2 linked regions of the Tamandua tetradactyla genome follow. The protein of the gene in region 1 purifies or fractionates together with the protein of each later gene. This does not show direct contact. Links are inferred from orthologs where the notes say so. Each region holds a gene or a part of one and is shown in the gene's direction. Other genes may lie near its edges.

The links.
Region 2: the proteins of CUL4A (region 1) and COPS4 purify together in Homo sapiens (affinity purification with mass spectrometry; 7 studies listed by BioGRID and IntAct, with this or other methods). This does not show direct contact. The link is inferred for Tamandua tetradactyla from reciprocal best matches to the Homo sapiens genes CUL4A and COPS4.

Annotation. Positions count from the first base shown.
Region 1 is NC_135330.1:183,683,447-183,689,753, forward strand, and holds the start of CUL4A (cullin-4A), read left to right. Parts: upstream 1-2,298; 5' UTR 2,299-2,413; exon of another isoform or gene 2,414-3,201; 5' UTR 3,202-3,203; coding exon 3,204-3,360; intron 3,361-3,763; coding exon 3,764-3,910; intron 3,911-4,731; coding exon 4,732-4,847; intron 4,848-6,307. Other genes in the region: PCID2 (PCI domain-containing protein 2), read right to left, coding at 1,735-1,770. UniProt on the Homo sapiens protein: Core component of multiple cullin-RING-based E3 ubiquitin-protein ligase complexes which mediate the ubiquitination of target proteins. As a scaffold protein may contribute to catalysis through positioning of the substrate and the ubiquitin-conjugating enzyme.
Region 2 is NC_135350.1:44,643,449-44,649,755, reverse strand, and holds the start of COPS4 (COP9 signalosome complex subunit 4), read left to right. Parts: upstream 1-2,910; 5' UTR 2,911-3,113; coding exon 3,114-3,187; intron 3,188-6,307. UniProt on the Homo sapiens protein: Component of the COP9 signalosome complex (CSN), a complex involved in various cellular and developmental processes.

The DNA of each region.
Region 1 (6,307 bases):
CTTTACATTAAAAATTCTCTATATCTTCAACCTAAACTTGTCTACTGAACTCTAGACTCCCATATAGTAGAATCTTTCTTACCAACCTCACCTTAACTGACTTAACTAGAATAAGTAAGTTTCGTATTCTCTCCAAACCCTCCAAAAAAATACTGGCTGATGCCCATGGCAAGATGAGGGCTTATACCTGGTAGGTTTCACTCTAATAAACACTCAAACTTTTGCCAAGTAATTTGTGTGTGTATCCAGATCCAGATGTGTTTATCCTCACATCTGTTTTTCCTATTTGTGCATGTTATTGTAATCATGTATTTAATGACACCGATGAAATATGAATGCAAAAAGGGAGTTTCTCACAAACTAAGTTGCATGCTTTAAAAAGGGTCTTAAAAGGTGATCTTTAAAAAAAGGAATTAGGTGCAGGCAGAAAATTGAAAAAGATGAAGAAGTACATAAAATTCTATAGTGATCCTATGTTCAAATCCCCTCACAATAGCCTATGTCCTCCTTGTTAAATAAACTGACATTGAAAAATGCTAACTCTGCAAAGACAAGACAAAGTCAGACCTATCCTTAAAGTAAAGGTCTTAAGCCTATATCAAAAGATTGGCAAGGGAATGGATAGCTGTAGGTTTTAAATTCATATAAAAGTATGTAATTGTTTTTTTTCCATGATTCCCATTTTTAACCAACTATTTCAATTAACTAAGTAATTACTGGCCCAATCATGTCAACCACCAACTAGATATCTTTATTTATTTTTTCCTCCAAATCTGTTTTCTACTCATCCATTGCCTAAGCTAGAAACCTGAAAATCATTCTTAACACCTTCCTGTATCTCAAGCCACACATTCTTAATCCCAAATCCTGGTGATGTTTCCTTCAAATATTTCTTAAATTCTTTACCTCTCTTCTTCATCCTTACTACCACTGTTCTAGTTCTAGCTCTGGAAATACACATTTTAACTGTTCTTCTGCCATTTACAGGCTGTAAAGACAAAACTTCTGAGAGACACATTTACTAAAGGATATAAAGTATGCAAAGCGTTAACAGAGAGAAGGAGTGTACTAAAGGTTAACTATGACTACATAGTGGATCGCACCAGAATTACACGAATAGCCTCTTAACGATTCAGCCCCATCTCTTATTTGAGTTGCCTTAAATTCACCCTTCAAACTTCCACCAGTTAACTATCAGAAACAAAAATGTGACTAAATCAAGTCCTTGGATAAGATCCTTCAATGACTAAGGCCAAACTTCTTAGCGTGGCTTACAGACTCAACATGATCCACTAGAACACTAGAACATCATGATCCATTCACTCACACAGCTCCTTTATACACACACACACACAGACACATACATACACACACACTTCCCTAAATTAAAGGCAGCGAATCTCCTGTAAGTACAATAAATATATCTGCTTAAATCATTAATTTCCATTTTGCAGAGAAGAGCTCAGAAATATTCAGCAAACATTAATTGACTTGCTTACGATGACAGGCTAGCAGGACATTCTGACCCTTAGTCCTGAAATGCTCTATAATATCAATTCCTGCTTCAAATCCTCTTGCCCTTCAGGTGAACCATTCAGTGAAAAGAGCAATAGGCAAAGGGAAGAAATAACAGACCTCAAGAGCACTACGAAAAGATGGCACATAACGGTGACACCAGCCGAGGGGTCAACCATCAAAGCACCACCTTGTATTCTCCCCCAGCCAATAAGTTACCTGCTGTAAGTACTGGTTAATAGTGATGTGAGCCATGGAAGTGGACCGCCGAGTCCAAAGCAAGAGTGAGCAACGATCACCGCCCCTCGCTGGATCTCCAGAAATACAAGCTGAGTTCCCACTTCCGCTGGCGCGCTGGCGTCACTTCCGAGCCGTGGTCCGTCTCTCAACCCGAGCCTCCGAGGTGGTCTGGTTACACCTTCCCTTAGCTGTTGGCTCCTGAAGAATTCCCGCGGGAGCGGGAGTCAGAGATGGCTTGTCTGCGCGCTGGAACTTCCGGGCCTCAGTCGGGTGGGACAGCGGGAAAAATGGGCTGAGGAAGACCGAGTTGTGTCCTCGGGTCCTCATTTCCAATTTGGTCCCACCCAGGACGCACTGGGGCAAGTCAGATCATAGATGAAGGGATAGGTGAAGTGTCATGGGAAGGCCCCTGAGACCTGAGAGGGTTTGGGATTTCGTGGCAGAGGACAACCTCATAGCGTAGCTTGTCTTTCGACTCCTCTCGACTGTTGCATATTTAAAAAGAAAAAAAAAATCCGCTGTGTTAAACCCTCGTACGCCGCTGATCTACTCTCAGGCCCTGGTACTTGGGGTACCGGGGCGCGCACGCGCGGTGGGAGTGGCCGTTGGCCTCACGCTGAGTGACCCGGGTGGCTCGCAGAGCGGGGTCTCAGGGGAGGTGAGCGTGATTGGCCGCCCCAGAACCCCTCATCCTCTCAGGGCACCAAAGCTTCCGTGTACGCAACGGAATCCAATTACACAGATCAAGATGGAGATTGACATTAAGTCGGCCCCGAGCTGAGGGCACCTGAGCCATGGGGACGGGACGGGAGAGACGGGACTTGAGAACAATAGCAAGGGCATGAGAGTTGGCGGTTGGCAGGAAGCTCGTGGAAGACCGGGCTGAGCCACAGAGGGCAGCAGTCACTGCGGCTCGTGCAGCCACGCGCGGGGCCGGCCCCTTTTAGTCACCGACTCTCCCTTCCCGAGGCGGAGTCCCGAGGAGCCGGGCCGAGGGGAGGGGGCGGGCCTAGGAAAGTTGAGGCCGCCGGTGGGGGCGGAGAGGAGGCCGGGTTCCGGCTCCGGCCGGCGGCAGTGTTTACTCCGCACCGGCGCCGGTTCCCAGCCAAGCGGCCGTGTGGGCGCTGAGATTACTTTTATCTGGGGAAGAAGGGAGGGCTGAGAGGAACTGCTCCCCTACGTCTCCGCACAGACTCCCCCGAAACGCGCTCCCGAAGGAGACACCCCGCGGCTTCCTCCGCTCCTCAGCCTGCCGGCGGGGCCTAGCTATCACCTCCAGAGGGGGCCGGGGCACCGGGCGGGGGCGGAGAAGGAGGCGGGGAGACCAGGCCGCGGGGGAAGGAGGAGGAGGAGGAAGCGCGGCCCGGGCCGCGACTGGAGGAGGGGACAGGCCAAGGGTGGGGGTGGGGCGGAGCGGTCGCCACCGGTTTGTTTTCTCGGCTGTAGACATGGCAGACGAGACCCCCAAGAAGGGGAACTTTTCGGCTCTCGTTGGACACACCAATGGCCTAACGAAACCTGCTTCCCTCGCAGCAGCCGCCGCCGTCTCCACGAAACCTGGGGGCGGCAGCGGCTCAAAGAAATTAGTGATCAAAAATTTCCGAGGTAGGTGCAGGAGGGCGATCGTGCCTTACTGTGGGGGAGGGGAAGCTTAAGTCGAAACGGGTCACGGGCCGCACCGGCCCCGCGCGGCGTCGCCGGGACCCTGGGGAGCCCGGCGGCCAGCTTGACGCACCTCATCGAGGCTGCGGGGGTGATCGTCCCGGGAGGAAGGGGCGGCGAGAGCGGCTTCCTGCGCCCCCCGCGGGCGAGGCCGGCGCGTTGGGCCGCGCTGAGGGGACGTCGGGGCGGGGACGGCCAATGGGGAAGGGGCGCGGGTCGCCCGCCCCGCGCACGCGCCGGGCTGACCTGCGCCGACCTAGCCTGCGCTGGGCGGCGCGGAAGAGGGGCTGCGGCATTTACGCTGTGGTACTTGGTGGTCCGCCTCCCGCCACCGTCTACTTCCCAGTGTGCATGCAGGCCAACCCCTCAGCTTTCCATCGTTTGCTCGTTGGATTTCTGTGCAAGCCCTCTGTGGCTGTTCATCACGTCACTTTCAAACTTGATCATCACTTTGGTCCGGTCACCAGACGGTTTTGGACCCTACACCTTCTGGGTACGGAGTGGAGGAAGGTTTTAAAACTTGTGCAGGGGTTATAGGACAATACATTTCTTTTCTAAGATAGTAAAAGGCCCAATGAGTCGGCATTTTAACCTGATCCTGCAGGCCACGTTTCCGCAACTCTGCCGGAGTTGAGCATTTTCTACATCAAAACTAAAAAACCTTTCTTAAATGTGTGAAACAAGGGCTTTTAAAACCTTACATGACTACATGATTTTGGCGATTTATTCTGTAATTTAACAATGTGCCAAGTTTTATTTGTACCAGTTTTTTCATTACTCTGCAATTGATAGAAAATTACAAATTAGGTCAAATAATTAAGGCATCTTGATTCGCACAGCTCAACCAGAGTAACTTCTGAAGCTATACATTTTTCCAGTTTTTACCAGCCCTATCTCGGATAATAGGTCAAAGCAAGCGTTTTTGATACAGGTATATACAATCTTAAGCTCATTCTTCACCTTCCTCCCAACATTGCATAATTTAAATAATTTTAAAATATTGTGTAGAGAATAACTATTCCATGTTATTACCTTTCTGAAATCAACTTAAGGGAAAAAAACTGTAAGATTTATAAATTGTCTTTCGTGTATTTATCCGAAGTATCAATGCCGAATATATTTAGCAAAACAGAAATAATATGGTTGCATAACTTGTAACCCAATACATTTATAAATGGTGTTTAGAAAATTCACTTCCTATGTTCGTACCTATGTGTCTTTTCTTTTAAATTCTTGGTTTGTAGACCATTTTAAGAGATGTATAACTGTTAGCATGGAGGTCTTTCTGCCCTGACTCTCTATCTGGATTTGCAGACAGACCTAAATTGCCTGATAATTACACTCAGGATACATGGCAGAAGCTTCATGAGGCAGTGAAAGCCATACAAAGTAGTACCTCCATTAAATACAACCTCGAAGAGCTCTACCAGGTAAGCGTCCAAGTATGTTAAAAAGTAGAATTTGCCAGAATTTAGAGACATGAATGCAGAATTTTTCTGAACATGGAAGACTTCAAAATTTGTTTAGGATGGCATTTAGTCTCTACAATTACCTGGTTGTTTTATGGCTTAAGTTAATTATCCAATTCCTGTGAGTTACGATACAAATTTAAATTACGTAATTCGCTCAATATTGTTTTCAGAGTCAATAATGAAGGAAATAATATAAATCCAAATGTCTCACTATGTTTGCCTCATACATTAAAGGGTTGTATAAAAGTGTGTCCCACTGTCACCAATTATTTATGGTTGTTGGTTGTTGGCTTTTTATTTTGTTTTCAGGCTTAACTTGCCTAGAAAGATATTCAAGTTATCCAACTACAATAAAGAGGATAGGTATTTCTAAAAGCCACATGCCCCTAACATTTTCCAAATATGTAGCAAAATTATAGTTCTATTTTATGAAATTTGTACTACTGTTTCACTTGCTAACGTAGATTTTTTTTTCTTCTTTGTTCTTTTGATTGATTATCATGTTGGGTTATGCAGACAAAATTTGTTACATTTATTTGAAGTAATGAAATTCCATTTGTAAAGTAAGAAAAGAATGGTTAAAAGTACAGTTTGCTATTTGTATATTTCGTTTACAAATGGACTAGTTTTTCCAGTGTCTTATGTTTAAAGACTAATGTTTATTAACCAGACAATATTACTACATTTCAGGTAACAATGTCATATCACACAGTTCATTTCCATAAAAAGGGCTTGAATTTTTTTAGATTATCTTTTCTCTGGTTACATAAATGATTGCATTATTAAAATTGCAAAAAATACAAAAAAGTATAAAGAAAAAAAATTAAGTCACCTGTGCTCCCATCACCCAAAGAAAAGCACTATTGACATTTTGATGTACAAACGTCCATTCTTTGTCAAAATTCAGTTGCTCATATATATGTGAGTTAAAAGTCTTGATATCAGGTAATGTTTGTTGTCTGGCTTGATTCATTTTCAAACTAGTTTTGGCAATCTGTAAGAAATTTAGAGTCTGTTTGTCACTTTATACAAACAAGCCTGCTGAGATTTTAATTGGAATTTTTTTAGGTCTTCAGATAAATGTGTAGAGAATTCATGTCTTAACAATATTTAGCCTGTCAATCTATGAACAAGGTATAACTCTCCATTCATTTAGGCCTTCGTTAATTTCTGTCAACAATAGTGTTTTCTAGTTTCAATATACTGGTCTTACACATCTTTTGTGAAGTTTATCCCTAAGTAATATTTTTGGTGATATTATAAATGGAATTTTAAACTTTAATTTCTGATTGTTTCTTGCTAGTATATAGAAATAGTTGGGTTTTGTATATTTAGCTGGTATATTGCTACACTCAGTTATTATTTCTAGTAGTTTCTTTGTAGAACACATCAGATTTTCCACATAGACAATCATGTCG
Region 2 (6,307 bases), on another chromosome or scaffold:
GAGCAACAGACATAAGGTTTTCACAATCACACAGTCACATTATGAAAGCTGTATCATTCTACAATAATCTTCAAGAAACAAGGCTATTAGAACACAACTCTACAGTTCAGGTGCTTCCCTCCAGCCCACTCCAACACACCATAAACTAAAAAGGGGATATCTGTATAATGTGTAAGGATAACCTAATTATAACCTCTTCACTCTGTTAGAAATCTCCCAGCCACTGACACTTTATTGTCTCATTTCTCTCTTCCCCCTTTTGGTCAAGAAGTTTTCTCAATCCCTTGATGCCAGGTCTCGGGTCATACTGGGATTTCTGTCTTACGTTGTCAGGGAGGTTTACACCCATGGGAGTTATGTCCCACGTAGAGGGGAGGGCAGTGAGTTCACATGCCATGTCGGCTTAGAGAGAGAGTCCATATCTGAGCAACAAAAGAGGTTCTCTGAGGGTGAGTCTTAGGCCTAATTTTAAGTAGGCTTAACCTATCTTTCACAAGAACAAGTTTCACAGGGCAATCCCCAAGATCGAGGGCTTGGCATATTGATTTGGTTGTCCCCACTGCTTGCTAGAATAACAGAAATTCTCCAAATGGGGAAGCTGAATATTGCCCCTTTTCTCCCTATTCCCCCCAAGGGGACTTTGCAAATACTTTTTTATTCACTGTCCGTATTTCTCTGGTATTTATTGGGGCAGCACACTAATCTGGACAAACCAACAAAATCTCATGCCCTATTCAAGATTCCATGTACTTATGGTGTTAACTAAACTGACCATACAAGTTAAATTAGGAAATGCACTAACCAAAATATAAATTTTGCACCAAATAAATATCTCTCCTTTTAGTCTCACATAGAAGTTGAATTTAAAACATGGAATCATCTTAATTTTCTTAAACTTCCATTTTTACTCAAGAAACTACAAAGAAGAAACAAAAAGTAACTGGGGCAGGCTAACATATCAACAATCCTTTGTGGTGCTAATTAAGACCTCTGCCTACATGGGAAAGAAGGAACTGTGACAAACAAGTCATGCTGAAAGTAGTAAGTCAGCTACTCATTACCAGATAACCCTATTCCTACACAAACATTTTGCCTGGGCAGCTTTTGCAGATTTATGGAACCCAAATACGACCTGCCCGAAGTGACTCACGGAGCTCACATCCTCCTTGCCTTCCTGTCCCATTCTCCCATACTTTCTTTGTTCTAAGCAGGAATATAAACTGTTTCCCCGCCACTTTTCTTTGAATAGTAAATTTCTTTTAGTTCTGTTCTCACGTGTATCACTTAGATCAATAAATGTATTCTACATCTTGGTTTTCAGAGTCTGCTTTTAACTTAATGATAGACAAGGCCGTAAGAAATTGCAGTCCTATATATTGTTGGTAGGAGGTTATTATTATGGTTAAATAATACCATTTGGCACTATCTATCAAAACTGTAACCACATCTGTCCTTCAATTGTCATGTGGGAATATATTCTGCCTATACACATATAAAATGATACATATATCTAGCTATGCAGTAGATGCCATAAAACTATAGCATAACTTCACTAGTAATACTCTCCAGCTCTATGAATGACCCTCTCCATAGTTACATATTAAAATCTCCAGGAAAAGTTAAAAGAAAAAAAAAGCAAGAACAGGGCAATGATACCGTGTGCTACTTTTTTTTTGTATCTTTAAAAGTTTTTTTTAAGAGGGTGGGCTACATTTTGTGAAAGCAAGAAGGAGGAAACTTTACATTTATTTGTTTGAATTTGCAAAAAAAAGACACTATGAGGATAAATGAGTAATTAATTTAATTACATGATGGTAGGATGTGTTGAGGAAATAACTAAAAACAAAATCTTCTCCCAACCCAGAAAACTTCTCCACAAAGGTAGAAGAGAAAGAAAAACAATTTTATTATTGAATAAGCATGAAACCAGAATGTGATGCATCACAGATAATCCGCAAAGATATTGCAAAGAAAGAAATTCCACTGTTTTATATAGCCAAACAGATACAACATGTTTTCAAGATAAACAGTCTGCAAATAAAAGGACTTGACTGTATCATTTGCCACACATAGTTCATCTTAAATTCACCTGGTGATTGGGGGTGGTCTTTGTGTTTGCCAGTTGCCTCTATTAAAAAATAAAATGTCTTTTATCTCTATGAGAGGTATAGATAGTTAACAATTTGGAGCCAGATGCCTAAGTTAAACTACTATGGAGATAGGGACTTGGGTGAGAACTTCCTTGATGCTAACATTTCAGAAAGAAACCTCCTAGGTCCTGGAGAAAAATATTCCTGGATTGTAAGGCAGGCAAAAGACTACGTAGTTTTTAAGAAGATTTAAATACATCTCAAAGGGGCAGAGAAAGGATTTACAATGTCAGGTTTTCTAAAATATGTTGTAAGAAAAGTGAATTGGGGGGGAGTCTTTTTCCCTTTTTGCACTTGGGAATTTTTTTTCCTTTTTTGATTAGAATTTATGCTTACGGATGGCTGTATAATTTTTCGTCCAATAGAACAGTTTCTACAGTGAAAGGGGTACGTTATTAATAATTATTTCAGGACAAAAGATGTAAATGTCACTATCCTGGAGAAACTGGGATGTATGATCAACTTACATAAAGATTACAGACTGGTAGGGGAAATGGGGACAATTTTTATTGTATTTTACAGAAGTATTAGCCTGTAATGAATTGGAAATAAACACAACTCATTCTTTACTACAGGTAATTTTAACAGTGCTGCCTTAAAGGAGGAGGAGCAGTAAACCACAGACAGGAGCCACGGAACTTAGTGAAAACGCGACTGTTTTGAGCACCCGGCACTTGCTGGAGTTGCACAAGTGACGCACTTGGAGCTGATCAGCCAATCTGAAGTCAGACACCCTGTGAGAGCGACTTGAGCTGGCCTCTGACGTGAGTTGGGGAGTTCGCGTCACTCGGCCCTGGGGGAGGAGCTAGGTCAGGTTCTACACCCATTCTTTTTCGGCGCTCTGGCCAACACAGACGCCACTCTGTGGCATCTCGGGCTCCCTCTGACTGCGCTCTGGAGGACCACCTCGTTTTCTTTTTGGCGGCGAAAGGTTCTCCCAGCCCCGGCTGAGCGGGAAGGAAGATGGCGGCAGCCGTGCGGCAAGATTTGGCCCAGCTAATGAATTCGAGCGGCTCTCATAAAGATCTGGCGGGCAAGTGAGTGTTTCCCAGGTGCACGGGAGTAGAGAGGTGGGGAGGGAAGCCACGGGACAAGTTCTCCATGGACTGTCGGCGACTATCGCGTATGAGCGAAAAGCGAGGCCCACGACCAAGGGGGGCGGACCTGAGGTCGATGGGAGAAGCAAATGTTGGGAGCAGTAGAAAGCTGGAGGGGACCTTGTGGAGGGGCGCTTGGGGCCGTAGACCTGGAATGACAACTTGTTCAGCCCTCGATAGCATCTTTACTGGCGTCTTGGGATCCTGGAATCGCGGCCTGCGAGACAGGCCTCGGCCTCCTCCGGTGCTTTTTCCCCGTCGCTACTCGGCTTCAAGCCGACTTCTGGCCTCTCTGAGACTTTTTTTTTTAGGGACATTTGTATTCCGAGGCTCCAGTGCAGAGTTTTCCCGGGAGACAGCTTCTCAGAGCTGGCAGGCTGAGGAGGTATGGCCGCTATCATGTGTTTAGAACCACTTGGACCATCTCCTGTGGGTCCTTATCTTTTTGTTACTCTCACTAAGCCGCCGAATCAGAAGAAGGGGGCATATATTTTTGGCATAAGGCGGAATGCTCTTATAATGTGAATCAGGATGTCTAGATTGGTAATTTCCAGAATCTGGATTGCTCAGTAATTTTATTAGAATTTATGTAAAGGCTTAGGTCCACTTCAAATTAAATATTTTGACATTATGCCTGTCCCTCATCGACCTGCAGCCAGATATTTAGCAATGTTAAATATGCATACATAAATGTATGTAAGTATAAAAATACATATATAAAAGTGTACATGAATCATATACCGTTTTCGTTTTGTAGATTTCTCAGCCCTCCTTTCCCATACTAAACAAGCATTCTGTTAAAAATATGCCTTTCAAGTTGACCCAATGTTTATATCCTGACAGTGTAGACCACACCGATTTATGTTAATGGGATACACCTGCCTTTACCTGGCCATTGAATTTTTGACCCTTATTTTCTTTTTTTTAAGGTACTCTGTGCTACCTTTTCTGTGGTGGCAAATATTATCTTTTTTTTTTTTTTTGCATGGGCAGGCTCTGGGAATTGAACCCTGATTTCTGGTATGGCAGGCCAGAATTCTGCCCCTGAGCCACCGTTGCACCGCCCAAATATAATCTGCTTTTATCATTGTGAAATTTAGCTGTGTATCTTGGGCTTAATTATTTTGTGAGACAATACCCCAATCAGGAAAATGGGAATAATTATAGGACTTATACGTAGAGTTGTTTGAGGATAAAGTCAATGTGTGTTTGAGGACAAAATGAAATGTGTGTGTGTGTGTGTGTGTTGTGTACACTCGTATCACATAGAACAGTACCTGGTGCTATAAGGTTGCTGTTGGCAGTAAGTAAATACATACTGACTCATTTCATGGGTGAAAATAAGTTAACTCTGTTTCCATGGTTCAATCCTTTATTGCATGTAATTTTGATAGATTTGGATGGAAGTAAAACGAGCTTTTATTTTTCTCCATGCTTGCTTTGCTTTTTAGTTTCTTGAAGAAAATAAATGTATTAGTTATCAAAAGGGACACTGCTTTTCAAGTATTTGCGGAATTCAGAAGCTTTAGCTAAGCATTTACTTCTTCAGCTTTGAAATGGAAATAAATACTACTACCTATCTCAGAGATGCTAAGGTATCTATTGTTTAACACTTCAAAAACTTAGTGGTGTAAAAGCAGCTAGTATTTCTCAGGATTCTTTGAGTTAATAGGGCTATTTTGCTGGTTTCATTTGAGTTCACTAAGGTAGGTGAAATCAGCTGGAGGTACAGGATCTAAATGGATTCTTCCCACTGGAAGTATTCCTAAGGAGAATTGGTGGGTATAATAAAGGACATGAAGATTTTAAAGGCTTAGTGTCTGTTGCCGTATATTGTATGTCTTGTTTATGAGACTACTTGTCTCATAACACGTTAGCCGATGTCAAGTATTATTTAAAAGAAACGAACAATGAAAGAAAATGTTGCTAATTTGGCAGGCAATATAAATTTAAAAAAAGATATCTAATTATTGAATAAATGATTCTTTTTAAAATCAAGTTAGTCTCTCCTAGTAGTATAAGATCTTAAGAGTTTCCTGAGAAACTAGAACTTTGTTTAAACACTGAAGTATGAAAATTAAAAACAGGTTCCTTTAGTTACTAGTTTCTACTGGTTTTGCTAATAGCACAATGAACTGAAATCCAGTTTATTGTGTTATTAGCAAACTTGTGGAGAATTTAACTAGCTTTTTAGAGGTAGAGATAACTGAAAATAGGTAATTTACTTTGGTGAAGCATAAAGAATTAAAGTACTTAGATGGTGGATAACAATTTGCATATTTAATAAAATTCTTAAGTTTTAACTTTAAATTTAGATTTGAAAGATTAGGACAATACAGACATAAGAAAACAGAATGATTTTCTTATAATGTATGTGGAAGTTCCTGATAATTTCCTGTAGTTAACTTCACTACTTCTGAATAGTCTCCTAAAATATTTCAAAGAACTTTAGAAGAAGAGAGTCTGAGAGGGAGCATTTGGGTAGATAGTTCTTGTGATAATCTGTCTTACCTGGCTAAAACCTACTTGGTTCTTCAAAAATCAGTTCAGATGTTAACTTTTTCTAGACAGACTTCTCTAAACAACCACCAATGAATGCACAGACCCCACCCCCAGACAGGACTTACTTAGCTGCTCTTCTCATGCACAGTGGCATCTGATATTTACCACTGCCATAGCACTTGTTTTGTTTGTTTACTTTTCTGCTTTCCCAACTAGAATGTGATCTCCTCATGGACAGGTACTAGGCCATGAATATTAGGTCCTTGTCAAGTTAATCCTATGATAATATGTACTTTTTTTTTTTTTCCCCAGTTCTGGGTTATAGTAGTACACTAAGGAAGAGAGTGGGCTCTTGTAGTCTAAACATTTCATTTTACAAGAAGCTGGAAAGAGGAGAATAAAGGGAGACCTCTTAGCTAACTCTGAGTATTAGAAAGACTGTTTTGCAGAAAAGGAAATAGACTTATTATTTGCCCTGTGGAAGTAGACTTTAGGCCACAACTTAGCTGTCCAAAAATGGAATGAACTCTAAGTGACGAGCTCTATCTCCTTCCTCAT